Linked DNA regions of Rattus norvegicus. The protein of the gene in region 1 purifies or fractionates together with the protein of each later gene. This does not show direct contact. Links are inferred from orthologs where the notes say so. Each region holds a gene or a part of one and is shown in the gene's direction. Other genes may lie near its edges.

Region 1 (3,500 bases):
ATTCATTTATGTGTTTGTTTTTGAGGCAGTCTCAGTGTGTAGCTTGGAACTTACTTAACATTAATAATTTTTACATGTGATGTATTTTAAGTTGTTATATATCATGAATGATATTCTTAGTTTCATTGTACATAATCTAAATTTTCATGGCTTTTACATATAAACTTTACTGAAAGTTTGCAGTAGATGAGTGATAAAAATTTATCTTAACTTTCTGTGTTTACATTAGATCATGCTTTACGATTATGGAATATCCAAACAGACACTCTTGTGGCAATATTCGGAGGTGTGGAAGGGCACAGAGATGAAGTGCTGAGTGCTGTAAGTTGAATCTGGGGTAATGACCTTTGGTTTACATAGAGTGAATGTTTCCCATTGAACTTTTCTCTTCATAGGCAAGCATGTCTCCTCATGCAGCCTAGCCTGGCAGGCAGTCATTTCATCCATTCAACATAAAGATGTTGAACTACACACAAAGGGGTAGAGCAAGTGGGCCTCTGTCAGTTTCAGTCTTTCAAAATGACTCGGATGAGTGGAAGAATATGTCAGTCATTCTCTTTGTAGATTTGGTGGTGGGGGTGGTGGTGGTGGTGGTGGGGTGGTGGTCTAGGTCTAGACCCAACTTTTTTCTTTTTAATTCAGAGTCACCAATTGAATTTTCCTTGTTCTTATTATTAAAGAACAAGTTTTTCTAATTATCCATAAGTTTTGTTTGAAGTAGAAATAAGTGGTTGACTTTGAGGAATTCTTCTGATGTGATTACCCTATATTTTCCAGTGCCTCTTCCCTGGGTAGTAAGCAAGACCAACAGTTTATGGCTTAAAAAAAATGTTGTTTGTGCTTTGGAAACAAGGTTTCACTGTAGGCCTGCTGGCCTGGGACTTGCTGTGTAGACCAGATTGACATCTGACTCACACATAGCCTGCCTCTGCTTCCCGAGTGATGAGAACAGAGCCTGGGCCACTCGTTCTGCCTGCCCTCCCTCCCTCCCACTTCTTTCTTACATGTCTTTATTGTGTATATATGTATGACTAGGTAGATGTACACTTGCCAAAAAAAACTTGCCATTTTGTGATCACAGGACAGCTTGCTGGAGTCTCTTTTCTGTTTCTGCCAGGGAAAAAACCAAACTTTGGTCTTTATTTAGGCTTGGTAACAGGCCCCTTAATGGGGAGCCATCTCACTGTCCTGATAATGGTAGAGATAATCCTGTACTGTCTTTTTGCTGATACATTGTAATCAGGGACCTGTCAGCTTTAGGCCATGTTCAAGTTTTTAACATTGTGGCCTTTGCCTGGTAACTCATTTGATTGATTGATTGATTTTAATTTTTTTTAGTTTTGTTTCTCTTCAGTGTTTTTCCTAATTTAACTTCTTAAAGCTGAATCACTTTGAACCATATATGGAGGTGCCAAAATGTTGCATTCGTTGAGAATCAAGGCTACCTAATGCTACTGTATCAGCTTGCATAGTTCTAGAAGTCCTGGTATCATTCTACACCAGGCTTTGTATGGAATCAAGCAAGAGAAGTCTGACTCAGAGGGGCTGGAGCGATGGCTCAGCAGTTAAGAGCTCTGGCTGCTCTTCCAGAGGACCTGGGTTCAGTACTCCAGTTGCAGAGCATTGGTGTCCTCCTCTGTCCTCAATGGGCTCTGCTCACATGTGGTACAGACACACATGCAAAACACCAATAAACAGAAATGAATGAATCTTTAAGAATTTTTTTTAAAGCTAACACAGAGCCATAGATTCTTAAGGATATTTTGTTGTTGATAATGAAGTGATTAGAAATAGTAGCAAGTAGATTGATGAAATCAGTAAACACCAAAGCTAATGTTTTGGTAAAATGGTTTCAGGTTGAGTCGCTGCAGAATACCTAGGTTGTAAGATACCCTCCTGGCTAGAACTGTCTACCCTTGCACCTGTGCTCTTCCTGTCTGAGACAGGGTCTCTCCAAAACGCTGTTGCCCTGGAATACCCTCTGTAGGCCAGGCTGGCCTCAGACTCACAGAAATCCACCTGCCTCTGCCTCCAGGGTGCTAAGGTTAAAGGTGTGCACCACTGTGCCGGATATTGTGGCTTACTGAGACTTAAATCTTCAGCAGGAGAGACTCCATCCCTTTTGTCTATGAAAAGGGAGAAAGTATGTGAGCATTTTGTGAACTCTTTGAGTGCTTGGTACTCAATTAAGAGCATATCTGGACTGTGTTCACCTGCGAAATGACATTGTAATTACATAATATTTGTTATGCATTAGAAATTAGTAAGCATTATAAAATGGTATTTTATACTTGTAATCCCATGGGATGCTGATATAAGAGGATTCTGAGTTCAAGGCCAGTCAAAAAAGAAAAACTAAAATCCTCTTAGACTTTTACTCATTTAAAAAGTGAACCCTAAAAACAATATAGACTTGAATGTTTTGAAATAAAGTACATGGGAGTGGGCAGCACTGATGGCATGGCCTCACAGGTACAGGTCCTTGCTGTACAATCTGGAGCCTTACGTGCAGTCCCTGGAGGAAGTAGAGAGTGAGTCTGGCCAGTTGTCCTCCAACCTCTGAGCATGGGTGCCACCTTCCCCAAACACATACAACAAATATATTTTTTTGTTTAATTTGTTGCTTTTTTAAATGTGATATTTTATTATATATCTTGCTTATATTCACCCCTATCCTCAGCTTCTCTCACAGCCTTCCCTACCTTTCTCTCTTCCTCCCTCCCTTTCTTCCTCTCCACACCCAGTCCAGTTTGCGTTAGCTAGTCATGGGGCCTGCCCTGAAGTGAGGTAAATGTGCCCGGAGTCACGCCACTCAAAACCTGACTCCTCTCCCAGAAGCAGTCAGATGCCAGCTCCTCCATTAGGAGAGGGCCTTCATGTCCTCCTCCTCATCTCTGTGCTGAGATTTAGTCAAGTACATTTAGTGAATGTAATTTTAAGTGGTACAAGAAAACGTATGATCTAACAGTTGAAGGACTCGTGTCTTTTATAAATTGGAGTTGGACAAGAAAAGTAATATATAACTGTGTAGCTTTTCTGTGTCAAAATGATTATTTCAACATCTGATTACCTTTAAATTTAAGGAAGCTATTTAAATATAGTTGTATAAATAAACTTCTATTTTGTACTCTAGTGATGACAGATTAAAATTTTGAACAGAATATGTCTGTGACTTGTGCTGTGCTGAGGTGACGCCCGGAATGTGCTTAGTATTCCGGATTGAAATGTCGTGCTCATGGTACTGGGCACCAGGTGAAAACTGGAAAGGAGCGTTTGAGGCTATAAATTACTTATTTGCACTTTTCTGCTTTATTCCTAGGATTATGATCTTTTGGGTGAAAAAATAATGTCCTGTGGTATGGATCACTCTCTTAAACTGTGGAGAATCAACTCAAAGAGAATGATGAATGCGATTAAGGAATCTTACGATTATAACCCAAACAAAACTAACAGGTGACAGTTAGGCCGTGTGTATTGAGTAGATGTGCTATCCTTCTCCA
Region 2 (3,430 bases), on another chromosome or scaffold:
AGTTCCTCCCCTCAGAGCCGAAGACCGTGCTCTGCCAGTGAGCTGTGCCCGGTGTGTACTGTCAGGTGATAACTGACAGTTTCTAATGTACCTCTGTGACTGACTTCAGCCGCATTCTCTCAGGCCTCGTGAAGGAAGTGAGGCGGTCAGCTGCTGTCCACCTCACTTCTCAGTTATTTCTTCTTATGCTGTTATTATTTCTTAATTATTTCCATGCTTCCTCTTACAGGCCCTCTAGCCTTCATTTCATAAATCCCCCCCTTTTTGCCTGCTGTTGGGTGGTTGAACGCTGGTCTTGTCTGCTCTCTTTCCTTGTAGTCTGTAAGTTAACTTCTGTCCTTAGAAATGTCCAGTAACACTGTTTTAGTAGATGATGTCTGGTTGATAACATGAAGAAAACAGATAATTAGACACTGTAAACTCTCATTAGGTAATGGGGTTTTTTTTTCTCTTGTGCAATTTTAATTTTTTCCAAATATTTTAAGCTTTGTTATAAAAATGTTAGAAAAACAAAACAAGCAACAGAACCTCACACTGAAATTAACTGGACCCAAAGATTCAATGGCTTCTATGCTTGTGGCAGCCAGCATCTCAATACCAAGTGAAAGCCTGCTGCAAAGGGACTTTTTTATTTTAATTAAGGCTAAAATCCATGAAGAGAATGTGGGGGGGGGGTGGGGAATGGATGAATTTCTGCTGTCAGCATTGAGGGACTTTGTTTTTTGTTTTTTTTTTTTTTTTTTTTTTTTTTTTTTTTTTTTTTTTTTTTTTTTTTTGGTTCTTTTTTTCGGAGCTGGGGACCGAACCCAGGGCCTTGCGCTTCCTAGGTAAGCGCTCTACCACTGAGCTAAATCCCCAGCCCCTTTTTTTTTTTTAAGAATTATTTATTTATTTCATGTATGTGAATACACTGTAGCTGTCTTCAGACACACCAGAAGAGGGCATCAGATCTCACTACAGATGGTTGTGAGCCACCATGTGGTTGCTGGGAATTGAACTCAGAACCTCTGGGAGAGCAGTCAGTGCTCTAACCACTGAGCCATCTCTCCAGCCCCTGAGGGACTGTAATGATGGCATTGTGTGCCTGAATGATAATACCACCAGAAGTTACTGGTAACTCAAAACTTGTTCCTATGTGAGGTTTGTAATTAAGTAAATTAAGAAAATTATCCATAATACCAGCACCTAAAGATAGTCAGTGGTCAAACTTTTTGGTATTGCCTTCCGTAGTTAAGCTACACATGTCATATAGGAGAAACAAAATTTAGCATCTGTGTAGTGTCTTCTCTCCCTTACCCTTATGTGACCTCTCATGAGCATCCTGTGTTGCTAGTAAAATACATGTGTGTGTGTTTTAATACTTAACACGAGTTATTTGTTGGATACAGTCCCTGTCATCACCCCTGTCATTGTCTCCCCCATCCCCCACCTTGGGGTGAGGTGGCCTGCCCTGTAGTCATGCTGTATGGTCTAGCCTGGCCTCCAGATTCTGCGCCACTTACCTTACCTTAGCTTCCCAAGAGCTGGGACTGTTGGGATGGGCCACTCTGCCTGGCTGTCTACAGACCCTTTTTTTTGGTTGAGTAAAATTGTTTGTAATTATCCTTTTTAAGGTCCTATTTTAAATTGCTAAAGAATATATTTCAATGTTACCCAAATCTTCTTCGTCGTAGGTCACGCTAAATGTGTAGAAGTAGTGAAAACTTTTAACTTGCCGTTGCTGATGCTTGGCGGAGGTGGCTACACAATCCGGAATGTTGCTCGATGTTGGACGTATGAGACTGCAGTTGCCCTTGATTGTGAAATTCCCAATGGTAGGTGTTCAGGTTGCAGTATCTAGAAGAACATGCAGTGTGTGGAAATGGATGAATGGGAGGGTCTGCAGCCACACCCCTGGAATGTATGATCTCCTCTGACGGCTGAATGGTTAGAGTGCGAATCTGTGAGAACATTCCATGCTCACTCTCAAGCTTCCTTTGGGAATAGTTCTTTTACCTGGATTATGATTCTGAGTTTATTTGGAAACTAAGCTTTCAATGTGTAACTTGCTTTTCATTGTTTTTAATAGAGTTGCCATATAATGATTACTTCGAGTATTTTGGACCAGACTTCAAACTGCATATTAGTCCCTCAAACATGACAAACCAGAACACTCCAGAATATATGGAAAAGATAAAGTAAGAAATCATTTCGCCTTAATGAAGTTTCAGGAGGCTATAGAAGGTCAAATAAAGGAAACTTTTAGATACATGAGATATTCTCTTTGTTTTAATATGATTTGAAACCTTAAGGATATTTGTGGTTTTAATCTAAAATAATAACACAAATATGTAACCTTTGTAAATAGAAACTTTTTTTTTAAGATTATTTATTTATTATATATAAGTACACTGTATCTGTCTTCAGACACACCAGAAGAGGGCATCAGATCTCTTTACAGATGGTTGTGAGCCACCATGTGGTTGCTGGGAATTGAACTCAGGACCTCAGGAAGAGCAGTCAGTGCTCTTAGCCACTGAGCCATCTCTCCAGCCCAATAGAAACATTTTTATTAGATCAAGTGCTTTCTGTCTACAGAATGTAGAAATGGTGAGCGGAATGGGCTGTGTCTTCTCGCCCGTAGACAGTTGTAGGACATGGACAAGTGCTCTTGTTGCCTCATCCGTCAGATGGGGTGAAGTGAAGCATAGCTGTGTGCTGTGGGGTCAGCCGTGTGTGCAGTGATCGATGCTCCACTAGTGTCCCATTCCGCGGTTAGCTAAATGGGAACTTGTTTTTGTTTAGTTCCTCCTCTGTCTAACAGGAACTTTGCATACAGTGGATTTTGTCTAATAAATTGTGTCGTTTAGACAGCGTTTATTTGAAAATCTGCGAATGTTACCACATGCGCCTGGTGTTCAAATGCAAGCTATTCCAGAAGATGCTGTTCATGAAGACAGTGGTGATGAGGATGGAGAAGACCCTGACAAGAGAATTTCTAGTAAGAAACTCCTTCACAGCACATGTTGTGATTCTCCTTTTCTCCATTTAATAACGTGAGATTTAGCTTCCTGATGTCTCAAAGCCTGAATTAATATCACCCTTCATTTTGTGTGACTACACAAACATGGCTGCATCCAGAAAGTAGGCACTTGATATCTATCAATATCTATCTACCTTATGTAATGATTGTAGAACCTCTGGCTATTACCAAATTAATAAAAATGTTTGTGTCCCAGTTCGAGCATCAGACAAGCGGATAGCTTGTGATGAAGAGTTCTCAGATTCTGAGGATGAAGGTGAAGGAGGTCGTAGGAATGTCGCTGATCATAAGAAGGGAGCCAAAAAAGCCAGGATTGAGGAAGACAAGAAGGAGGCGGAGGACAAGAGGACAGGTCCGTCTGTGCTGGTGACGCTCCTTTTCACTGCTTACGGGTGCACTGTATCTTTA
Region 3 (4,139 bases), on another chromosome or scaffold:
TCAGGCCGAGCCTGCTGCCGTAGTCCTTATTTCAGGGAGTCAGACAGTGGGCCCAGCATTGGGGCAGAATGGGAGACTTCGGATTGTAAGCAGTGATCTCGTGTAACCCTATTCACTGGTCCATCCACAGGTGAACCAGTGCGTGATCGGCACTGCTCAGGCTAATAAGAAATGAAGATGGATGCAGAGCCTGGCTCCTGTGCAAGCGGGTGTGCGTGTCTGTTTTGTGTATATGTATAACACGGGGGTGGGGCGGGGCTGAGACATGATTTTATTGGGTGGACAACATTATGTACCCAACTATCAAATAAAGAAAATTTGGTGTAGGTTAATTTTTTTCTTAATCTTAGATTTAAAAAATTGTGTGTGTACAGTTGTTTAGCCTGAGTATATACATGTGCACCATGTGCATGTCTCCTGCTCCTTGAAGTTCAGAAGAGGCTTCGGGGCCTCTGGAACTGGAATTATGGACAGTTTTGACCATCGATGTGGGGTCTGATCAGTAAGTGCTCTTAACCACTGAGCCATCTTTCCAGACCCTGTTACAGCTCTTAATGGTTTTATTAATATTGGTAGCTGCCAGATGAAGTATTGTGAGTAAATACCGTAAGATGTAGAAATGTCCATTTTGACCTGTTTTGCAGAGTGAGGGAGGCTATGGGCTTTCACTTGGAGGGACACACTAACTTTGCTGCCTGCCCTGGTGCCTCTCCTCTGTCCTTCAGCTCAGGGAGTTGTGCCCATAGTGCCCACACCGGGCCCTCTGTGACCAACTAAATCTCTCACTTCCCCTGCCCACCGGTTCGAACCATGGTTCGGTCCGTGCCGCCTAGTGCCCATTGGCTGGTGTGGGCGCGTCACCGCCCCAGTACTAGTTCCAAGTAGCCTCTGGTCCTTTCCCTCCTAGAGGAGCACGGCCATGCCAGTGCTCGCCGCGGGAGGAGTGGCTGTGTGCCCAGGTGCGGCGCGCGGGCGGGGCTACGCGTGCGCAGAAGGGCGGGGCAACAGAAAGCGTGAATGAGGAGGGCGGTTCCGCGTGCGGAGGCGGAGCTTGGAGTGGCCACGGGGGCGGGGCAACTAACGGATGTGGCATGGGGCGGGGCCCGGCCCTGACCTGCAGGCTAGCTGCCAAGAAGGTTATTTCCTGCTGCCCTCAGAGCAAGCCTCCTATCCGAAAAGGGGGCTACAGGGATTTCCTCGTCCTCCCCGACCGGCCGCGCCTCCAATAGCGCAGCGCCCTCCGGGCCTACTGGAGGTGAGGGAGGTGCTGCCTACCCGCCCCTCCGTCGTCTCCTCCCACTGGTGCTCCCCACCCTCCACTCTCCTCCCTCCTTCTGTCGACTCCTCCTGCCGCTGCTGCTGCTTTGGCTGCTGCGTCATACGCCCCAGAGCGGCCAGGACGGAGGGGCTGGGCCCGGGGACCCCCCTGGCCTCCACCTGCACGCCCCTCGGCGCTCACACTCAGTCTTCCCGCACCGGGGACTCACCCAGATCTCTTGGGTCTGCCCCTACCTGGCTTCCAGCTGCCCCAGCTGTCACCGGTAAGGAGAAGGCGGGAGGCCCGGAGGGGGGGGGGCAGGGAACCGGGGGTCGGTGCGCAGGAAGGGCTGGGGGAGCCTCCTGGTCCCAGTTTGGGATCTGTGCTGGGGCGACTCAAGTCCCTCCGTGGACTGGCAGTGTAGGGGAGTAGAGACTTGGACAGGGACACGCCCCCCTCCTGGGGCACTCAGGGAAGTTATCTAATCCCAGGTCAAGGAGCCCCAAATTTGAGGGTGACCTAACATAACCTGGCACCAGGATGGTGGCTCTAAATAAGACACACAAGCCTGGGGAGGCAGCTGTTTCTACTCCTTTAACGTCTTTAGAAAAGCTCCCAAAACATCTCCGGGCAACAGATTGCCCCAGTTAGGCTACCTCTACACAGCTGGGAAAGGTGAAACTAAGTGGTAACCTTGATTCTGCAAACATCTTTTCCACCGGAGGTCCGGAGGAGCTGGGATACTACGGAGCTAGGCAGGGGAGATGGAAAGGAGTGGAGTAGAGAAGCTGACCAGAACGACCTGCCTCCTCGGGGTTCTAAAGGATTACGAGACTGGGGTTGGAGATTCCTGGTCAGGGTCAGGGTTTCTTCATCCGTAACAGAAAACAACCCACACAGGGACACTTTCTCAGCGCTCATAAACTCTAACCATCCTGTTTCAGAATAGCCCACCCCAGGATGCAATGGCGCAGCTCCCCCGGCTGAGCCGTTTGGGTGCTCCCTCTCTTTGGGACCCAGCCTCCCCTGCTCCCACCTCAGGCCCCAGACCTCGGCTTTGGGAAGGTCAAGATGTGCTGGCAAGATGGACTGATGGGCTCCTGTACTTGGGCACCATCAAAAAGGTGAGGCCCACCTCTGATCCCCTGCCTTCCCAGGCCGGTCTGATTCCTGCCCCCACTTTACGGTCTTGGTCATCCACTCCAGGTGGACAGTGCGCGGGAGGTGTGTCTGGTCCAGTTTGAGGATGATTCCCAGTTTCTAGTTCTATGGAAGGACATCAGCCCAGGTGAGACCCTTCAAAGCACAGCTTCCCTCTGCAGCAGCTGGAGCCGATGGGGACGCTGGGTTGAAGTGGGCCTCCTGACACTTTGTTCTCTCACAGCCGCCCTTCCTGGTGAGGAGCTCCTCTGTTGTGTGTGTCGCTCTGAGACCGTGGTCCCTGGGAACCGGCTGGTCAGCTGTGAGAAGTGTCGCCATGGTGAGAGGGCGGGATGTTTAGGGGGTGCAGTTTGCCCTGGGTCTTCTGGGTTACCACTAGAAGGGTTACCCTCCCTCATAGCGTGAGTCACGCACGTCTCCTGCCTGGGCCAGTCCTCACCCTGTCACCTCATCTCAGTACAGGGAGAGGGAGCGTGGATGCAGGTGACAAGGCTGAGGGCCTACCGTAGCTCGCTCACATTTCTTAACCAAGCTTCCTTGGGCAAGGTCCTCAACTGCTAGAAGCCCGTTGACTCAACTTGAGTGTCAGGATGAGACCTGCCAGCGGGACCGGTCTTAAATGCCCTGGTCAGGACTTAAAGGCCACTCTGTGGCCTTCTCTCCTCATTCAGCCTATCACCAGGACTGTCACGTCCCCAGGGCCCCAGCCCCTGGAGAAGGAGAGGGCAGCTCCTGGGTCTGCCGCCAGTGTGTCTTTGCGATTGCCACAAAGGTAAAGGCACCTCTCTGCCTGCTTGTGTGGGAGCCTCCCGTGACCTCTCCTCCTTCCCTGCCCTCTGAGGCTTCCCTCTGTTCCTCTGCAGAGGGGAGGTGCCCTGAAGAAGGGTCCCTATGCCCGGGCCATGCTGGGCATGAAACTCTCCCTGCCGTACGGTCTGAAAGGGCTGGACTGGGACGCCGGACATCTGAGCAACAGGCAGCAGAGCTACTGTTACTGCGGGGGCCCGGGGGAGTAAGTGAAGGAAGAGCAGGGCCAGCCACGGCATGGGTGTTTTGTGGTGGTAGAGCCCAGGACAGAGGGGAGCGAAGAGGGTGAGGGGGGGCCCTGTGGTTTGAAGAAGGCTGAGGGCCATGGCGCTGTCTTCCCCTTGAGGTGGAACCTGAAAATGCTGCAATGCCGGAGCTGCCTCCAGTGGTTCCATGAGGCCTGCACCCAGTGTCTGAGCAAGCCCCTCCTTTACGGAGACAGGTGAGATCCAGGGAGACTGCACAGGAGCCTGGGGTGCTCTCTCTCCCGCGCTCCCGACTGACTAGTTAGCCCTCTGCAGCTCGTACTGGAGGGTTGAGTGAGGTCCCTCTGTCCTGACCCATATACAGATTCTATGAATTTGAATGCTGTGTGTGCCGGGGCGGCCCTGAGAAAGTACGGAGGTTACAGCTTCGCTGGTGAGAAGGATGGTGCTCTCCGCCATTTTACTCTATGACTCCTGACTCCATAATGCTGCTGCTGTTGACAATCTCATGCTCCTCCAGGGTGGATGTGGCCCATCTTGTTCTCTACCATCTCAGCGTTTGCTGTAAGAAGAAATATTTCGATTTTGACCGAGAGATCCTCCCCTTCACCTCTGAGAATTGGGACAGTCTGCTCCTGGGGGAGGTAAGGGTTCTAAAGTTTGAGAACTGGGGTTTTTGGAACAAGGAATGCGTGCTCCCTGGGACC
Region 4 (3,995 bases), on another chromosome or scaffold:
GTGTGTGTGTGTGTGCGCGCGCGTGTGTGTGTGTGTGTGTGAGAGAGAGAGAGAGAGAGAGAGAGAGAGAGAGAGAGAGAGAGTATGCGAGAATATGCCTTGTGCTTGGGAGTCAGAGTGTAATGTGGGCTCCTTACTAGTTAGGAGGAACATAAACTCCAGGTCTTTATTTTACAAAAGCTTATTAACAAGGCATTCCCTTACTGAAAGTTTTGGAAGATGCAATGCTTCCCTTAATGTAAACCCCACAAAGGAAAGGACTCTTGCCTGAGGATAGGGAGGAGCTTTCACTAGTTTGAGTATTGATCTCTCCTTCCAGGCTTTCTTTTCTTCCCACCCTCCCGAGTTTCGCTTTTTGAGACAGGGTTTCACTGCGTTATCACTGGCCTGCCTAGAACTCTCTCTATAGCTCAGGCTAGCCTAGAGATCTCGGAGACTCTCCTGCCTCGGCCACCCGAGGGCTGGGCGTAAAGGCACGCCTATTTTAGGTCAGGTACATGTGTGCACCGCCCACGTGACCGGGAGGGAGGCCAGGGTCAGAGCTTCTGGAGTTAGACAGTTGTGAGCCGCCATGTGGGTGCTGGGAACCGAGCGCCGGGTCCTCTGGAAGAGCGGTTAGATCGCTCAACGGCAGAGCCAGCACTACACCCCCGAGAACTCAGCCTACCTACAGCTTCATCCCAGATTTTATTAGAAGCTCCAGGACTAAAAACTGCGAGGATCTTGAGCTAAAGCGCTGCCCTCTTCGTCTGAGCTTCCCTCCTTGGGTCGTTGGAACGTCGGGACAGGTAAGCAGGTCCGGCTGAGAGTGAGGACTATGCCTCCGCGGTGTGGACGGCAGCTCTATGCCTCAAAAAAAAAAAAATCTATTTAACTTTCTGCACATTTTTGTGTCCTGTCTTTGCGTACGGTAAGCACTCAGAAGGTGAGACTCTTGCTCCACTTATGGCTTCCTTCTACAGGACACCTTCCCACACACACTCTGAGCGGATGCTTTCCTCTAGAGAAGTACAGGGCTGTGAAAATCCCCAGTGACTTCAGGTTTCGAGGGCTCGTCCCGCCTCCGCTGGGCGCGGGAAGGCGTGGGAAGGCCCCGAGAAACTCTCCGAGGGGCCAGGCTGGCCGGGGGAGTGGCTGCCGTGGGCCGCCGCGCAGGCGCGCTGCCTCGTCCGCGTGAGTGCGCGCGTTCCGGCGCGTGTCCCCGCGCGGGCTCCGTAGCGCGTGTGCAGCCTGACGCAGCCCCGCGGGCCCTCCTCCCGCTCTGCGGCGGCTGCGAGGAGTTTGGGGCGTGCGGGCGCGGGGAGGCGGGGGCGAGGCGGCGCGCCGCGAGAGGAGGCGGCGGCGGCGAGAGGAGGCGGAGGAGCAGCAGGCGCCGCCATGGCCGCCGCGCTCACCGACATGGCCGACTTGGAGGAGCTCTCCCGCCTCAGCCCGCTGTCCCCCGGCAGCCCCGGGCCCGCGGCGCGCGGCCGGGCCGAGCCGCCGGAGGAAGAGGAGGAGGAGGAGGACGATGAGGCGGAGGCAGAGGCGGTGGCCGCGCTGCTGTTGAACGGCGGAGCGGGCGGCGGCGCGGGGGGCGGCGAGGCGGAGACCATGTCGGAGCCTAGCCCCGAGAGCGCCAGCCAGGCGGGCGGGGACGAGGACGAGGACGACGAGGACGACGAGGACGAGGGCAGTAGCAGCGGCGGCGCTGAGGAGGAGAGCAGCGCCGAGAGCCTGGTGGGCAGCAGCAGCGGCGGCTGCAGCGGCGACGAGACGCGCTCGCTGAGCCCGGGCGCGGCGAGCAGCAGCAGCGGCGATGGGGACGGGAAGGAGGGCCTGGAGGAGCCCAAGGGACCGCGGGGCGGCCCGGGCGGCCCGGGCAACGGCGGCGGTAGTAGCAGCAGTAGCGTGGTGTCGAGCGGCGGCGACGAGGGTTACGGCACCGGGGGAGGCGGGAGCAGCGCGACCTCCGGGGGCCGGCGGGGCAGCCTGGAGATGTCGTCGGACGGGGAGCCGCTGAGCCGCATGGACTCGGAGGACAGGTCAGTGCGCCGCCAAGGGAACTCTTCCCGGACCCGGTCGAGGGGACTCAGGGGACTCCTTCCTGACTCCAGGGGACTCCCCTTGGGTCCTGTCTAGGGGACTCTTTGGACCCCTTTGAGTTGACTTCCTTGCCCGATCCCCTCCCACCTCCTGGACTGGTGGCCCAGCAGGGGGGACCTCCTGGCAGCGATCTCCTTGCTCCGGGTAGAGTCCGGGCCACCGCCAAGGGGACCAAGGGGACTTTCTCGCCGCGGTCCTTTCCGTTTCTTGCCTCCCCTTCCCAACCCCGCCCGCCCGCCCGCTCGCCTTGAGAAACGTCTTCGCCAGCATCACCCCTGCCCCCGACTCTGGGACCCCGGACCCCAGACCCGGGGGACTTTCTCTCGGTGATCTCCCGCTCCCTGGTTCTCGGCCCCTCCCCCCCAGATCTCAACTTGGAAATCCCGGGCGGCCGCCGCGCCCCTCTCTCGCCACTGAGCGGCTTCCAACTCCTCACCATCCCCCTCAACTCTCCTTTCCCCTACCCTCCTTACCTCCGCGCGCGGTTCTTTCGGATCGAAGGACGACTCTATCCCGGAGACAGCTCCCCCAAAGCGGCCCAGAAGCCCTTGGTGTACACCTCGGTAGCTTCGTGCATCGGTGTTCGGGAACACTTGTCAGAACTGTAATTGACAAGTGTTTTCCAATATGGCTGGTCTCCTGGATCTCACGGGAGTAACTTGTGCTGGGAGGACATCCCCAAGCCTGGCTTTGCTTTACTTTCAAAAAGGACTGTTGGTCTGTTGTGTGTAATCACAGCTTCTCGAACCCCTCACATGTATCAGTTATATCATCTCAGGGGATTTGAGTTTTGGTCATCAAATCTGAGCGACCAAGTTTTAAACATTGTGGAAAAGAACAGTGAGTTTGAATTGATGTCCTTTACAGTAACTTTGCAGAATCAGAAAGAATTGGAGTCATAAGATACAGCCATGAAGGTTAAACAATTAGGATGTGGCTTACTTATGAAAACGGCATTGTGCAGCGATACTTTGATGTGGGAGTCACATCCCCCTTGGTGATTTTTTTTTAAAGTCATGTATGGGGGAGGTGTCTGGAGGAATTGTGGCTTTTCTAGAGCTTGTTCTAGTTAGAACATTTAAGAAATGTAGTATGTTTTGGTTGCTGCTCTAATTTTTGATTGCTTTGTAAAATTTCATAATTGAAGTTGATTTTCAATGTACTTTGAAAAAGAATCAGGCTTAATATGTTCCTAAAGTACATTAGCGTTTACTTTTGACCATCTGCTAGTGTTTTGATGATTAGAATTTATAAGCCAGTAGTGATTTCTCTCCTCGGGTTGTATTTTTTTGGGGGTGGGGTGCATCTGCCTAATCAGTTGCCCTTATTGAGAATTCAACTTTACCTCCCTTAGTCTCTGGATAGAGTCCACACACACCACCATCCCTGGATTTTGATTTGATCTTAAGTTAAAGCATTCTGAGGTCTTTAGGAATTCTGGTTGCCAAAAAAGATGAATATGTTATTAGCTAGTGATAAATGAACAATCTGGAGGAAAAAAAAACCCTCAGGCATTCTTTTGACACTTTAAAACTGAGATAAGTAAATACATTTTCTTTTTCCTCCAACATCTGTACAACAAGGTTTCCCTTTGTAGCCCAGGCTAGTCTGGTATTCACAGAAATCCTCAGCCTCCCAAATGCAGGATCCACCATCTATCTGCCACAAGAAGTGTTCTTGAATGGGTGTAAAACAGACTGCTCCTTAGGAAAACTTAGAGAAATGTGCTAACCTGTAGGTGTGGTTGGGGAAGGTAATGTCTTTTTTTTTTCTTTTTCTTTTTCTTTTTTCTTTTTTTTTTTTTTTCCGAAGCTGGGGACTGAACCCAGGGCCTTGAGCTAACCACTGAGCTAAATCCCCAACCCGGGTAATGTCTTTAAGAAACCTGTGGGGCCGCCTATTTTGGGGGC
Region 5 (3,500 bases), on another chromosome or scaffold:
GAACCGGATGTGGCAGAAGAGCTAAGACTTATCGGAGCAATGGCTGTGTGTTTGAATCCCACTCTCATACTTATCAGCTAAGCAAGGGCCTTAGCTTCCCGAGCCTCAGTTTCCCCGTCTTTGGAGCAGGTGTTAGCAGACATCTCCGGAAGCCTGGGAAGATTCGGCGAGGCAGCTCGTGGGATGGATAGTGAAGCTCAAAGCACAGCAGTTCAGTTCCTGCTCTGTGGTTTTTATTATGATGGCTTTAACAACGAAAGTCCCTGACAGTTTTATAGATCTCCATTCTGGCTACACACTCCTCAACCCTCCCCGATCCTCCCTTCCCACCCTCCTCTTCCCTCCTCCCTACCTGCCCCTTTCCCAGGTGCTCGATTTTTGGTTTTGTTGTGTGACCCAAAGTGATCGCACAATCGGGGACATCTGTGTGGCCGTTGGGTTGGGACGACTTACTGAAGTCCAGCAGAATCATCAGTGGGTATACAGCTGAAGGAAGGAACTCTCCATCCCCCCCCCCCAGAATGTATCAAAATAATTGTTCAGCAGTGAGGGACAGGCCCCCTGTGTCCCTGCTGTCGATGTCTGGTATGGATGGGTCCATCCTTGTGCAGACCCTGTGTCATCTACAGTTGTTAAGAGTTCATTACAGGGGCCACACTCAACAGATGGCATGCCAAGCCCTTTTTTCTGCCTTTCAGCTCTTCCGTTCTTTCTGGCCCCTCTTCAACAATGTCCCATGAGGGTACGTTGTGGATGTCTTGTTTAGAGCTGAGCTTCAACCGTCCCTCATTCTCAGCATTTTATACAGCTGCTTCTGCACTCCGCAGTTCACAGGAGACAGACGCATCTCCGGTTAAGGCTGAATGGGTATAACATATATTTAGACTCTGTGTCAATGTAGCTGAGCCGCAGAACTAAGTTTCCCAGTAGGGGCCCTATGAGCTCCTCACCGGATCCAAGTACGGATTCCTTCTCGGCAGATGATTTTGACGATTTCTTGGTGGTGTGAGCTGGACCTGAGTTGAGGGGACTTCTTTTTCAGCTGGTGTTCCAGGAGAGGAGCCCAAGTGTGATGTCTGCATGGGGAAGACTTCAGGACCGATGAACGAGATCCTCATCTGTGGGAAGTGTGGCCTGGGTGAGTGGGTGAATAGCACACTGTGAAAGGCCCTGCCTTGTGGGCCCCTCCCACTCGGCGGGCCCCTCCCACTCGGTGGGCCCCTCCCATTTTGTGGGCCCTCACCGCACTTGCTGAGGTCCCAGCTAGCTTCCTATCTATCCTATTCCTTCTATCCCTGACATGTCTCCTCCTGCTTTGGGGAAAGGTGACCAAAAGCAATGGGAAATGTAGTTTGTGACCCTCCTAGGCAGAGAGACAGGTGCTGAAGCTCATTCTTGGTGCCTCTTACAGTGGCCAGTACCTTCTTTTTGTGCCTCGCTGGCTGGGTACCACCAGCCAGTACCCTGAAAGCTGGCAGGCAGAGTTCCCTAGGGCTTGCCATAGCTCGACTAGCCTCGCTGCCTTTGGCCAACTGGCCTTGGGCCACTGCTCCCTTGTGACTGATTCACCATCCCCTCCTTTGCCCCAGGTTACCACCAACAGTGCCACATCCCCATAGCAGTCGATGCCAACTGGCCCCTCCTCACTCACTGGTTCTGCCGACGCTGCATTTTCGCACTGGCTGTGAGGGTGAGCATCTCCCAACCCCTTTCCCCAGCCCTTGCCCTCCTGTCTTCCAACTGGGCAGACCAGAGCCCCACGAGACTCAGGCCTGAGACGACATCGCTGATGCTGTTCTCTAGGCAGAAGGGCTCCACTTGGACTTTGGAGACACAGGGTGCTGTCTTAGGCTAGATCTCAGAACCTCTCTAAACCTCAAGTGTTCCCAACCATAAAATGGACCCAGTTTTGTGTCAGTAGGAGGCCCCTAACAAAGGGCCGTTTGCTATTAAAAGACAACGTTATTATGTACCTCCCCCTTACACGTGGTATTTTTTTTTACTTCTTTTTTTAAAAAGCTCTTAAGATAAATATATATTCTTTCACAGATTGTGTGTGTGTATGTGTGTGTGTGTGTGTGTTGTCCTTTTTACAACTAATGCTATCAATGAATATCACTAAAGGAAACAGGATGGGTTTAGGATTGGTGAGAAAAAGCTCGTTTTTCTGATGTTCATAAAATGTCTGGGTCTCCCCGAACCCTGGCAGCATTTCTCCTGATAGCTGTGTGCTGACAGGTGTAGTTGTTGACCTGGGTCCTATCTCCCCCTAGAAAGGCGGTGCGCTGAAGAAAGGCGCCATCGCCAAGACGCTGCAGGCAGTGAAAATGGTGCTGTCCTACCAGCCTGAGGAGCTCGATTGGGATTCGCCCCATCGCACCAACCAGCAGCAATGCTACTGCTACTGCGGCGGGCCTGGAGAGTAAGGCACCAGAGCGGGACACGTGTTGACTGCTGGGCGGGACTGACAGGCTCCCAGGGAACCCCATCTCGGGGGCGGGGCCTGAGTGACAGCCTGAAGGGCGGGGTGAGGCTTGACTGGCAGGCTCTGGAGGCGGGACCTGCGCCCTCCGAGTGACAGCTTGGGGGCGGGGCCTGAGCATCAGACTCTGGAGGGGCTGACCCAGAGTGACAGCTGGGCTGAGGGATATGAGTGTCTGGCGGCGGGACCTGGAGGGGCGAACCTGGAACCATGGGGCGGGGCCTTCGTGTCACGCTGTAGAGGTGGACCAAGAGAGACTTGACAGGGGGCGGGGTCTGTTAGGTTATGAAGGCGGGATCTAGAGGGGCGGACCCAGAGTGACAGCAGCGGGGCGGGGCCTCAGTGTCAGGCCTTGGAGGCGTGTCTTGGATGGGCAAATCCAGAGTGCTCACTGGGGGCTAGGTCTAGGGTAGACGGGCCTAAAGTGACAGTCGCGAGGGCGGGGCCTAGGTGTCAGGCCACGGAAGCGGGATCTGGAGGGGCGGATCCTCGATGTCATTTTAGGGAGGGCAGATTGTTTAATGTTTAATTTTAATGTCGCTTTGCAGGAGGGAAACCCAGAGTAGTCTTTGGGGAAACCAAGCTTTGAGGGGCGGGCCCAGGGGGTAGGATGGCTGTCATAAGGCAGGTCTGGACCAATGGGAGCCAGGAGAGTTACCTAGGGATCTTAAAGGAAGGGTGCTGAAAGTAAGCTCAGAGTGAGAACCTGTGCAGGTGCAATGGAGAGTAGAAGGCAGAGTGCTTTTCTTGGAGTCACGTGAGAAAGGAGGAAGTAATGAAACAGCTAAAAAGCCTAGGCCTGACAGATGACCATAACCTGGCACAGCACTTTGCCAGCTCTGCCTCCCCTGGTTCACAGTTCACTTACTAGTTTTTCCTTTGTGTGGCTGTGAGCATCAGTAACTATATAAAAGCTCACATGGGCTGGGAATTGGTAATCAGCTGGTGGTGGTAGAAGAGATTCTTGTCTTGCTGTGGGGCCAGAATCTGCTCTAGCTTGCCAACCTGGGCCTCCGAG
Region 6 (3,500 bases), on another chromosome or scaffold:
CTTATAATGTAGGGAACAACAAAACTAAAAGTAAAATGTCTTCTTGAAAGCATGTTCTGCAGTACTTGATAATAAAATAGAACTTGCTTTCTGCTTTTTTGATATTAAGGATATCATCAGCTGTGTCATACGCCTCATATTGACTCGAGTGTGATCGATTCAGATGAAAAGTGGCTTTGTCGACAGTGCGTTTTTGCAACAACAACAAAGGTATCTTCTAACTGTTTTAGGCTAAACATTACTAAATGTAATTTCTAAGGACTTACCATTGAAATGACTGTGTACATTGAAGAGCTTGTTCTCAGTGAAATTAGCAGCTAATGTTGGTTAGTAGAATTGTTTTATTAATGATCCTTAAATGGCTCGTAGTTTATTTGTATGTGTTCGTGCTTTCTGATAGTGGTGTGGGGATTAGGGCAATAAATTGAAAGAATACAATAAAATAAATACATTATTAGTAGCAGATCAGACAATATGGTGTCATAGAAATTCAGAATGGAAATTATTTCAGAAGTGTCAAGCATTTTTAAACTATAGAATTAAAAATTAGAAAATTTGGCTAAAAAACTTGACCTTCACTTTTTCAAATGTTTTTCTTTTAATATGTAGAGGGGTGGTGCACTTAAGAAAGGACCAAATGCCAAAGCACTGCAAGTCATGAAGCAGACATTACCCTATAGCGTGGCTGACCTTGAATGGGATGCAGGTCATAAAACCAACGTTCAGCAGTGCTACTGCTACTGTGGAGGCCCTGGAGAGTAAGTAACAGTTACGTCACGTCCTCTGATGTGATTTATACTAATGCACAGTATCTTTTCTCTTTGTAAAAATGTTTTTTATGAAGACCCCGTTTTGTGTGAATCGTAGTCTCGCTCTATGTGTACCACTTAACTGGCCTCAGGTGCTTGAGGCCAAGCTTTCCAAGAGCACTAGGGCTGTGGGTGCTTGGTTTGTCTTCTCATCACTGATGGTGGCAGTGATAGGGAATTGCAAATGGATAAAACAATTGGTTAAGGGCTGGAGAGATGGCTCAGCGGTTAAGAGCACCAATTGTTCTTCCAGAGGTCCTGAGTTCAATTCCCAGCAACCACATGGTGGCTCACAACCATCTGTAATAGAATCTGATGCCCTCTTCTGTTGTGTCTGAAAACATCTACAGTGTACTCTTACATAAAGTAAATAAATCTTTTAAAGAAATGTTCATAAACAGAAATCTCTATGGCCATTTGGCATTTGGGCTAAACACTGGTACCTTTTAATCTATCTTTCGTAGGATACAGAGAAGTGATGTAAAAAAGCATAATAAACTACAGCAAAAAAGTTTCAGGGGCAGAGGAAAGATGGCTCCAGGGGTTGATAGCTCTTCTAGAGGATCTTAGGTGTGTTCTCAGCAACCATATTGGTGACTCACAACCAACTGCAACTCTGGGTCCAGGGATCCTCACCCTTTTCTGGGCATTTACACTCAACATGAATGTATCCACACACAGGCACACAAATTTATGGGGGAGGTGTAGAAGGGTGGGCTTGGTGATTAAGAGTACATGCTGCTCTTCAGAGGACCTGTGTTCATTCCTAGCACATGATGCACATAGAGAGAAGCACTGCACGCACACGATGCACATAGAGAAGAGCACTGCACGCACACGATGCACAGAGAGGAGCACTGCATGCACGCGATGCTCATAGAGAGGAGCACTGCACGTGCGTGATGCACATAGAGAGAAGCAGGCTCCCACATATACACATATTTTAAAAAATTTTTTTAATTGCCAGCTTGGACCTAGGCGTGGTGGTACATATCTAGTTGTAGTTTACTCAGGAGGTGAAGAAGGGTGATCGCTTCATCCTAAGACAGTAGTTCTCAACCTTCCTAATGCAGCAACCCTTTAATACACTTACTTCCTCGTGTTGTGGTGACCCCCGCCCCATCATAAAAGTATTTTCATTACTAAGTTTGCTAATGTTATAAATTATAATACAAATTTCTGTGTTTTTCCATAGTCTTAGATGACTTCTGTGAAAGGGTCATTTGATCTTAAAGGGCTTCTAACTCACAGGTTGAGAACTCTTGGCTAGCTAGGAGTTTAGGGTTCACTTGTGTATCAGTAAGAACCCAAGCTGAAAAAAGATCTTTTTAAACAGTTGGTGGCTATGGTTGTTATCAAGCATTGAAAGACAACCTCAAAATGAGACTCAAAACATTTCAAAGAGGCCCGAGGATGTAGCTGAGCTGTAAGAGTGCCTGTCTAGCAGGCCATGAACTGGATGAAGTAGTGATTAATCTCAGTACAAGGAAGTGGGAGGACCCTAGTTTTGAGGTCATTTTCACTTTGAGGCTAGCCTGTAATATGTGAGACCATGTTTCAAAAAAAAAAAAAATCAGAAATAAAAACAACAAGCAAAATAAAAAGTGCTATATGGGTGTGTAGTTCATTGGTAAAGTGTGTAGAACAACCTGGATTAGACCTCACTACAAAAAGCAAACCCCCTGAATCTTGTGATTTGAGAGAGATCAAAGATACTAATTAACCTTAAAGAGCATATAGATTTCCATGATAGGAGAGGAAGGATGAAATAATTGATACTAACCTTTTTGGGAACAATTAATACTAATATTAGTATTTATAGCAGAAACAGTGCTTTTATCAGAACTGTATTAGTTATATTTTCTTTAAAAGAATTCTTGCTTTATCAGTAAGTAGTAATTTAGCTTAATAATAGTGCCATACACTTATAATCCTAGCACTGGGGAGGCCAGGGGAGTTATGAGTTGGAGACCAGTCTTGAACTACAGTGAAGTATTGTTTTATAAAGAATTAATTTCAGGGGTTGGGGATTTAGTTTAGGGGTAGAGCACTTGCCTAGGAAGCGCAAGGCCCTGGGTTCGGTCCCCAGCTCCGAAAAAAAGAACCAAAAAAAAAAAAAATTAATTAATTTCATTTCCTCTTCCTTTTTTTTTTTTTTTTTTTTTTTTTGTGATAGCTGGTATTTAAAGATGCTGCAGTGCTGCAAATGTAAGCAGTGGTTTCATGAGGCTTGTGTCCAATGCCTTCAAAAGCCAATGCTGTTTGGAGATAGGTAAGAAGAGCATTTGAATTTTAATGATTAACCAGTCAGCTGCTCTGTAATTGTGGTTATTTTGCAGTTTCAGATTTCCAAAAATAACTTTGACAGTGATGTGTTAAAGGGGTCAGTTTAGACTGACAACACTGAATAGTAAACATGCTTTATATGTATTTTCTATGCTTTGGAATATTATCAGAAAGCTTTTAAGTATTGTCTCCATGGTTATATTTGTTCTATGACTACAGTTCTCAAAACTGTTCTCATTGATTCCTGCCAGTCGCGAAGCTCAAAGGAACACTGCAATGAGAATTGAAAGACCATAGGATCTTATTAAAACAAATTGTATAATAAATTTGAAAACTTGTAAAAGCAGACACCATGTACTTTCTATGCCAGAATATTAGGATAGGACAGTGAGCTCTAGGAAGAAA
Region 7 (4,226 bases), on another chromosome or scaffold:
CCAACTTTTATTCTTGCAACCTACAATCCTATTTACCGGTATTTTTATACTCACATGGGTGTTTTTAGTTACAATAAATTTATAGGTAACCAGGAATATCGTAAGACAGCTGTAAATGAAAACCTAAAAACTGCTAGAAATTAATGGAGGTAGCTCTGAATTCCCAGTAGTTTTTAGACATGTTTTTACCCAATTATCTTGTATAAGTAAGATCTCTCGGGTGCCCAAACAAGTGATTAATTTAGGCTGTTAGGAATTTGAATAATGACAACACCGACACTAATGCATTTGTTAGTTTTCTTTTTTATTATATTTGATGTGTACGAAGGTAAAAATGAAAGAAAAAAAAAGCCAAATCGCTAAGCTCTAAACTAGCACATTAATAATCCTAATCAAGCTCCCCGTTGTTCTTTTCCAAAAACAGCTCGTGCCCTCCCCCAGATAGTACAGGACTAACGATTAAGGGTTTCAGCAATAATTCCGAAAGCTTGAAACGCCTGTATCCTGAAATGACTGGATATTAGAAAGCACTTTAGAATTGGTCACATTTCCAGTACAGTCAGACATTCTGGAGACAGTAGTCTGAATGTGTCATGCCCATTTTGCCCTCCTTCCAATGCCCAATGCGCACAGCTGACCAAGCCATGACAACCATTTTGTATTGTCTTGGAAAGGACGAGGAAAGCGTCCTAGACAACCGAGTCAATTGGCTTTTTAAAGGCTGTACTAGACAAAGCCAGTTACTGTAGAGGGCATCAAAAGATCTTATGAGTGCTATGCCTCAAAAGGAAAAAATATATATAGATAGGTTCAACCTTAGTCCAAACAAACCAAAGGGGAAGGAGAGACAGTCTGTGGCTAGATACCCCACAGAAACTCGGATCCAAGAAGGATCCTGACTGCTCTGTAAAAACAGGATGAGGGTATCCCAGCCTTGTCAATGAGCTCCTGTCTCATCCCAAGTCTCAATTCCACGCCTGGAAAACACATGAGGTCTCGAGGGTGAGACCCTAAATTTAGAGATTCCCTGCGACTGCAACTAGTGTCCAACCATCACGAGCCTCTCCAGCAGCCCAGACATGGCTCAGATTCAGCCCGAGGCCTGCGGAATGCTGCAGTACAAAAACACTAGGGCTCCAGGCCGAGACTCACCAGCCTCTGAGCTGGCCATACTGCCAAGTGAGGTCGCGGCCAGACTCCAAGACGAGAGCGCGGGCGACGGTGTCCTGGAAGGGTCGAACCCGGTAGAACCGAAGGGAGTAGGAGGGGGTAGAAACCAGAGAGCGGGGAAGGAGGGGTAGAAAAGGGAGGGACGTTAAAACGGCTTCTCGCCGCTGATTGGTCAGAAGAGAAGCACTTCCTTTCGCAGCACGCGCTTAGGCGGCAGTTTGCGGGCTCCAGATACCATTCCCCGCGGACAAGATCCCGCTTAAGGGCTCTCAGATCGGCGTGCAGGGCAGCCAGGTCACCCAGCAGCCCGGCCGATCTCCTGGGGGCGTTAGAGCCGCGCTTCCGGTGAGTTTGTGGTTTTGTATTCCTCCGCCGAAGGCAAGCGAGAAAGTAGTGCGATACGCCTTGCCCAGGGTACAATCACGTGACAACGCCAAGCTCCGCCTCCCCCGTCTTCTTTGGTTATGGGCGTGGGGGAGTCTGTGAAGACGTAAACATCTTCAAGTAGAGACAGTAGGATGGCTGGTGCTGGCCATTTTAATGACTGGTTGGCCACGGGGAAGAAGCTTGTTTGACATGTAGCAAGGCGAGAAGGTGGTGTAGCCAAAAGGGTGTGGGACGGGGCATTCTAGTGGTGTCACCCAGTCGAGAAGCGAGTAATAAACGGGCGCCTATGAGGGAGCGCCCGCGGGGGGGAGGGGCGAGAACATGGCGGATTCCGGAACGCCAGCGGGCGTTGAGGCCTTGGAGCCAGGGGGCGGGGTGATTAGGTCATAGAGCGGCTCCCAGCATCCTTTGCGACGAGGAGGCGGTCCAGACTATAAAACCGGCTGCCCGGACGCAGCCGGCACCTCATTCATTTCCATCGGTCCTTGGGTTTACAGCTCCGGCCCTCGTCACCGCCGTCCCTCCGCTGGTGACGCCCCCGCAAAGGCTTCGCCGTCGCCGAGGCCTCCTTTCAGCGACTCGTCGCAACTGGATTCTCTTTCACTGGGTTCCTCCAGCACACCGCAACCATTGACGCCATGTCGAGTTATTCTAGTGACCGAGACCGCGGCCGGGATCGAGGGTGAGTATAACAAGGGACCTGTCAGGGCGGGTGGGGGATGGGAGAGCGGCGCGGCAGAAGCTCGGCTTTCCAACCGACCTTTAGATTTTTTTTTCTGGTAGGAGGCCTTGCGTTTCTCTGACATCCGGCTAAAAAGCCGTTAAAGGCGACGCTTCTGGTAACTGGGTTCAACCTTGGTTTTTGTTTGGGAGGACGGCGGCCTGGGCGACCTCGCGGCTGTTGTGGGAAGCCCGGAGGTGTTTTAGATAGGGAAGCGCCTCGCCTTAGAGTCGGCTCAAGGCGTCGTTTGCGCAGCCTTTCGCTGGGGGTTTTAGGGGGGCCCCCGGGGTCCCCAGAGAATACAAGGGGCGCTTTCGAGGCCGTCTGTGCCCGGTAGGGTGGCCTACGCCAGCGGATTCAGCCATGTGGCTGAGCCGCAGCCACAAAATGCCGGCCTCGGACATGGCGGCGGCGCCTTTGTTACCCCGCCCGGCGGAGGAGCTCAAAATGGCAGCGTCGAGAAAATGTGGCGCAGAGAGAAATGCGAGACAAAGAAGGAAGCGCCGCCCCAGCGGGAACGCCGCCCGGGCCGGGACTCCTCCCCCGGTTGCCGTCGACTCCTCCTCTTTTTCTCCCTCGCGTTATATAATTTTGTTACCTTGATTTGCAGCCGTTCGCGGCGTTTCCTAAAACAAGGCTCCCTGGCGCGTGTGCCCCTTTCTACCCTGCCCGCGGTACCGTCCTCCCATAGCCACTCACGTTGCCTGCGCAGTCCCGTTATTTCTTTAAGATCAGGCCCTTTGATGAAAACAGTGGCAAAAATAACCTTCTTAAGCTCCTCCCTTCTTGTCCAGCTCCTAGACACTTAATTCCTAAGCTCTGTGGGGAGAGAAGAGGGAGCCTCTAGCTGTTGTCCTTGTAATCTGAACTTCAGACGTTTGGGCAGTTTGGGACCTGATAGATCCCACGCTGTTTATTTGGCCTCATTAGAGTGTACTTGGGACTTCAGAAAAGAAACGCTGCCAGTTGTGGCTGTCCGTAGAATGACAGTTGGGAAGGATTCCAGAGGCACACTTTGGCTCGGATCAAGAGACATTAAATGAAATGTGGAGACAAACCTGTTCATGTAGAAGTCTGTTCACAATGTACCTAACTTTTTTTTTTGTAGGTTTGGTGCACCTCGATTTGGAGGGAGTAGAACAGGACCCCTATCTGGAAAGAAGTTTGGAAATCCTGGGGAGAAACTAGTTAAAAAGAAGTGGAATCTTGATGAGCTGCCCAAATTTGAGAAGAATTTTTATCAGGAACACCCTGATTTGGCAAGGCGCACCGCAGTGAGTATTTAAATGTGGCTTCATCGTGCTATAACTCAGTAGTAACTACTTCTGATCAATTAGATGGAAACTTAGCAGGTGCCTTGCAGATTATTTGGAGAATTACTTGTCTGACTTCCCATTGAATTTTCTCTTGTGTATTGGCCAGGTGTAATGGCCATATGTTAATCTCTGGGGAAACATCACTGGGGAAACAGGCTTGTCAGCCTATTTGGGCTTCATAGACACTTTTTTTTTTTAATGTGTATTGTGATTTTTACTGCTAAGTAGAGTTCCATTTATGGGTCCAGATAGTTAGAAATGAGTGTAACTGAGCTGTAGGGAACTTGTCGGTGTATCTGGCCTAGGTCTGAGACCAAGATCATTTGTTTTTCAGCAAGAGGTAGATACGTACAGAAGAAGCAAGGAAATTACAGTCAGAGGTCACAACTGTCCAAAACCTGTTCTGAATTTTTATGAAGCAAACTTTCCTGGTAAGGAATAAATTTTATCTTTAACCCTTTACGTTTTTTCCCTCTTTTTTTGCCTATAAGTTTTTGTTAAAATGGTATTGTTGGTTGCAGCAAATGTCATGGATGTGATTGCAAGGCAGAACTTCACTGAACCCACTGCTATCCAAGCTCAGGGCTGGCCAGTTGCTCTCAGTGGATTGGATATGGTTGGAGTAGCTCAGA

What was found.
Region 2: the proteins of Eed (region 1) and Hdac2 purify together in Homo sapiens (affinity purification with mass spectrometry; 5 studies listed by BioGRID and IntAct, with this or other methods). This does not show direct contact. The link is inferred for Rattus norvegicus from reciprocal best matches to the Homo sapiens genes EED and HDAC2.
Region 3: the proteins of Eed (region 1) and Phf1 purify together in Homo sapiens (affinity purification with mass spectrometry; 8 studies listed by BioGRID and IntAct, with this or other methods). This does not show direct contact. The link is inferred for Rattus norvegicus from reciprocal best matches to the Homo sapiens genes EED and PHF1.
Region 4: the proteins of Eed (region 1) and Aebp2 purify together in Homo sapiens (affinity purification with mass spectrometry; 6 studies listed by BioGRID and IntAct, counting the BioPlex papers as one, with this or other methods). This does not show direct contact. The link is inferred for Rattus norvegicus from reciprocal best matches to the Homo sapiens genes EED and AEBP2.
Region 5: the proteins of Eed (region 1) and Phf19 purify together in Homo sapiens (affinity purification with mass spectrometry; 8 studies listed by BioGRID and IntAct, counting the BioPlex papers as one, with this or other methods). This does not show direct contact. The link is inferred for Rattus norvegicus from reciprocal best matches to the Homo sapiens genes EED and PHF19.
Region 6: the proteins of Eed (region 1) and Mtf2 purify together in Homo sapiens (affinity purification with mass spectrometry; 3 studies listed by BioGRID and IntAct, with this or other methods). This does not show direct contact. The link is inferred for Rattus norvegicus from reciprocal best matches to the Homo sapiens genes EED and MTF2.
Region 7: the proteins of Eed (region 1) and Ddx5 purify together in Homo sapiens (affinity purification with western blotting; 3 studies listed by BioGRID, with this or other methods). This does not show direct contact. The link is inferred for Rattus norvegicus from reciprocal best matches to the Homo sapiens genes EED and DDX5.

The regions. Positions count from the first base shown.
Region 1 is NC_086019.1:153,290,501-153,294,000, reverse strand, and holds part of Eed (polycomb protein EED), read left to right. Parts: intron 1-229; coding exon 230-321; intron 322-3,319; coding exon 3,320-3,453; intron 3,454-3,500. UniProt on the Homo sapiens protein: Polycomb group (PcG) protein. Component of the PRC2/EED-EZH2 complex, which methylates 'Lys-9' and 'Lys-27' of histone H3, leading to transcriptional repression of the affected target gene.
Region 2 is NC_086038.1:42,120,127-42,123,556, forward strand, and holds part of Hdac2 (histone deacetylase 2), read left to right. Parts: intron 1-1,673; coding exon 1,674-1,814; intron 1,815-2,068; coding exon 2,069-2,177; intron 2,178-2,849; coding exon 2,850-2,980; intron 2,981-3,218; coding exon 3,219-3,374; coding exon of another isoform or gene 3,375-3,430. UniProt on the Homo sapiens protein: Histone deacetylase that catalyzes the deacetylation of lysine residues on the N-terminal part of the core histones (H2A, H2B, H3 and H4).
Region 3 is NC_086038.1:5,018,636-5,022,774, forward strand, and holds the start of Phf1 (PHD finger protein 1), read left to right. Parts: upstream 1-1,339; 5' UTR 1,340-1,541; intron 1,542-2,202; coding exon of another isoform or gene 2,203-2,223; coding exon 2,224-2,382; intron 2,383-2,464; coding exon 2,465-2,546; intron 2,547-2,642; coding exon 2,643-2,738; intron 2,739-3,090; coding exon 3,091-3,191; intron 3,192-3,282; coding exon 3,283-3,431; intron 3,432-3,572; coding exon 3,573-3,668; intron 3,669-3,796; coding exon 3,797-3,865; intron 3,866-3,952; coding exon 3,953-4,076; intron 4,077-4,139. Other genes in the region: kinesin-like protein KIFC1, read left to right, coding at 131-175. UniProt on the Homo sapiens protein: Polycomb group (PcG) that specifically binds histone H3 trimethylated at 'Lys-36' (H3K36me3) and recruits the PRC2 complex. Involved in DNA damage response and is recruited at double-strand breaks (DSBs).
Region 4 is NC_086022.1:175,258,349-175,262,343, forward strand, and holds the start of Aebp2 (zinc finger protein AEBP2), read left to right. Parts: upstream 1-1,195; 5' UTR 1,196-1,377; coding exon 1,378-2,024; intron 2,025-3,995. UniProt on the Homo sapiens protein: Acts as an accessory subunit for the core Polycomb repressive complex 2 (PRC2), which mediates histone H3K27 (H3K27me3) trimethylation on chromatin leading to transcriptional repression of the affected target gene.
Region 5 is NC_086021.1:38,583,855-38,587,354, reverse strand, and holds part of Phf19 (PHD finger protein 19), read left to right. Parts: intron 1-1,042; coding exon 1,043-1,138; intron 1,139-1,589; coding exon 1,590-1,690; intron 1,691-2,273; coding exon 2,274-2,422; intron 2,423-3,500.
Region 6 is NC_086032.1:1,804,415-1,807,914, reverse strand, and holds part of Mtf2 (metal-response element-binding transcription factor 2), read left to right. Parts: intron 1-109; coding exon 110-210; intron 211-609; coding exon 610-758; intron 759-2,985; coding exon 2,986-3,081; intron 3,082-3,500. UniProt on the Homo sapiens protein: Polycomb group (PcG) protein that specifically binds histone H3 trimethylated at 'Lys-36' (H3K36me3) and recruits the PRC2 complex, thus enhancing PRC2 H3K27me3 methylation activity.
Region 7 is NC_086028.1:92,229,129-92,233,354, reverse strand, and holds the start of Ddx5 (probable ATP-dependent RNA helicase DDX5), read left to right. Parts: upstream 1-1,426; 5' UTR 1,427-1,515; exon of another isoform or gene 1,516-1,526; intron 1,527-1,623; exon of another isoform or gene 1,624-1,764; intron 1,765-2,054; 5' UTR 2,055-2,195; coding exon 2,196-2,239; intron 2,240-3,386; coding exon 3,387-3,552; intron 3,553-3,928; coding exon 3,929-4,025; intron 4,026-4,115; coding exon 4,116-4,226. Other genes in the region: Cep95 (centrosomal protein of 95 kDa), read right to left, coding at 1,153-1,171. UniProt on the Homo sapiens protein: Involved in the alternative regulation of pre-mRNA splicing; its RNA helicase activity is necessary for increasing tau exon 10 inclusion and occurs in a RBM4-dependent manner. Binds to the tau pre-mRNA in the stem-loop region downstream of exon 10.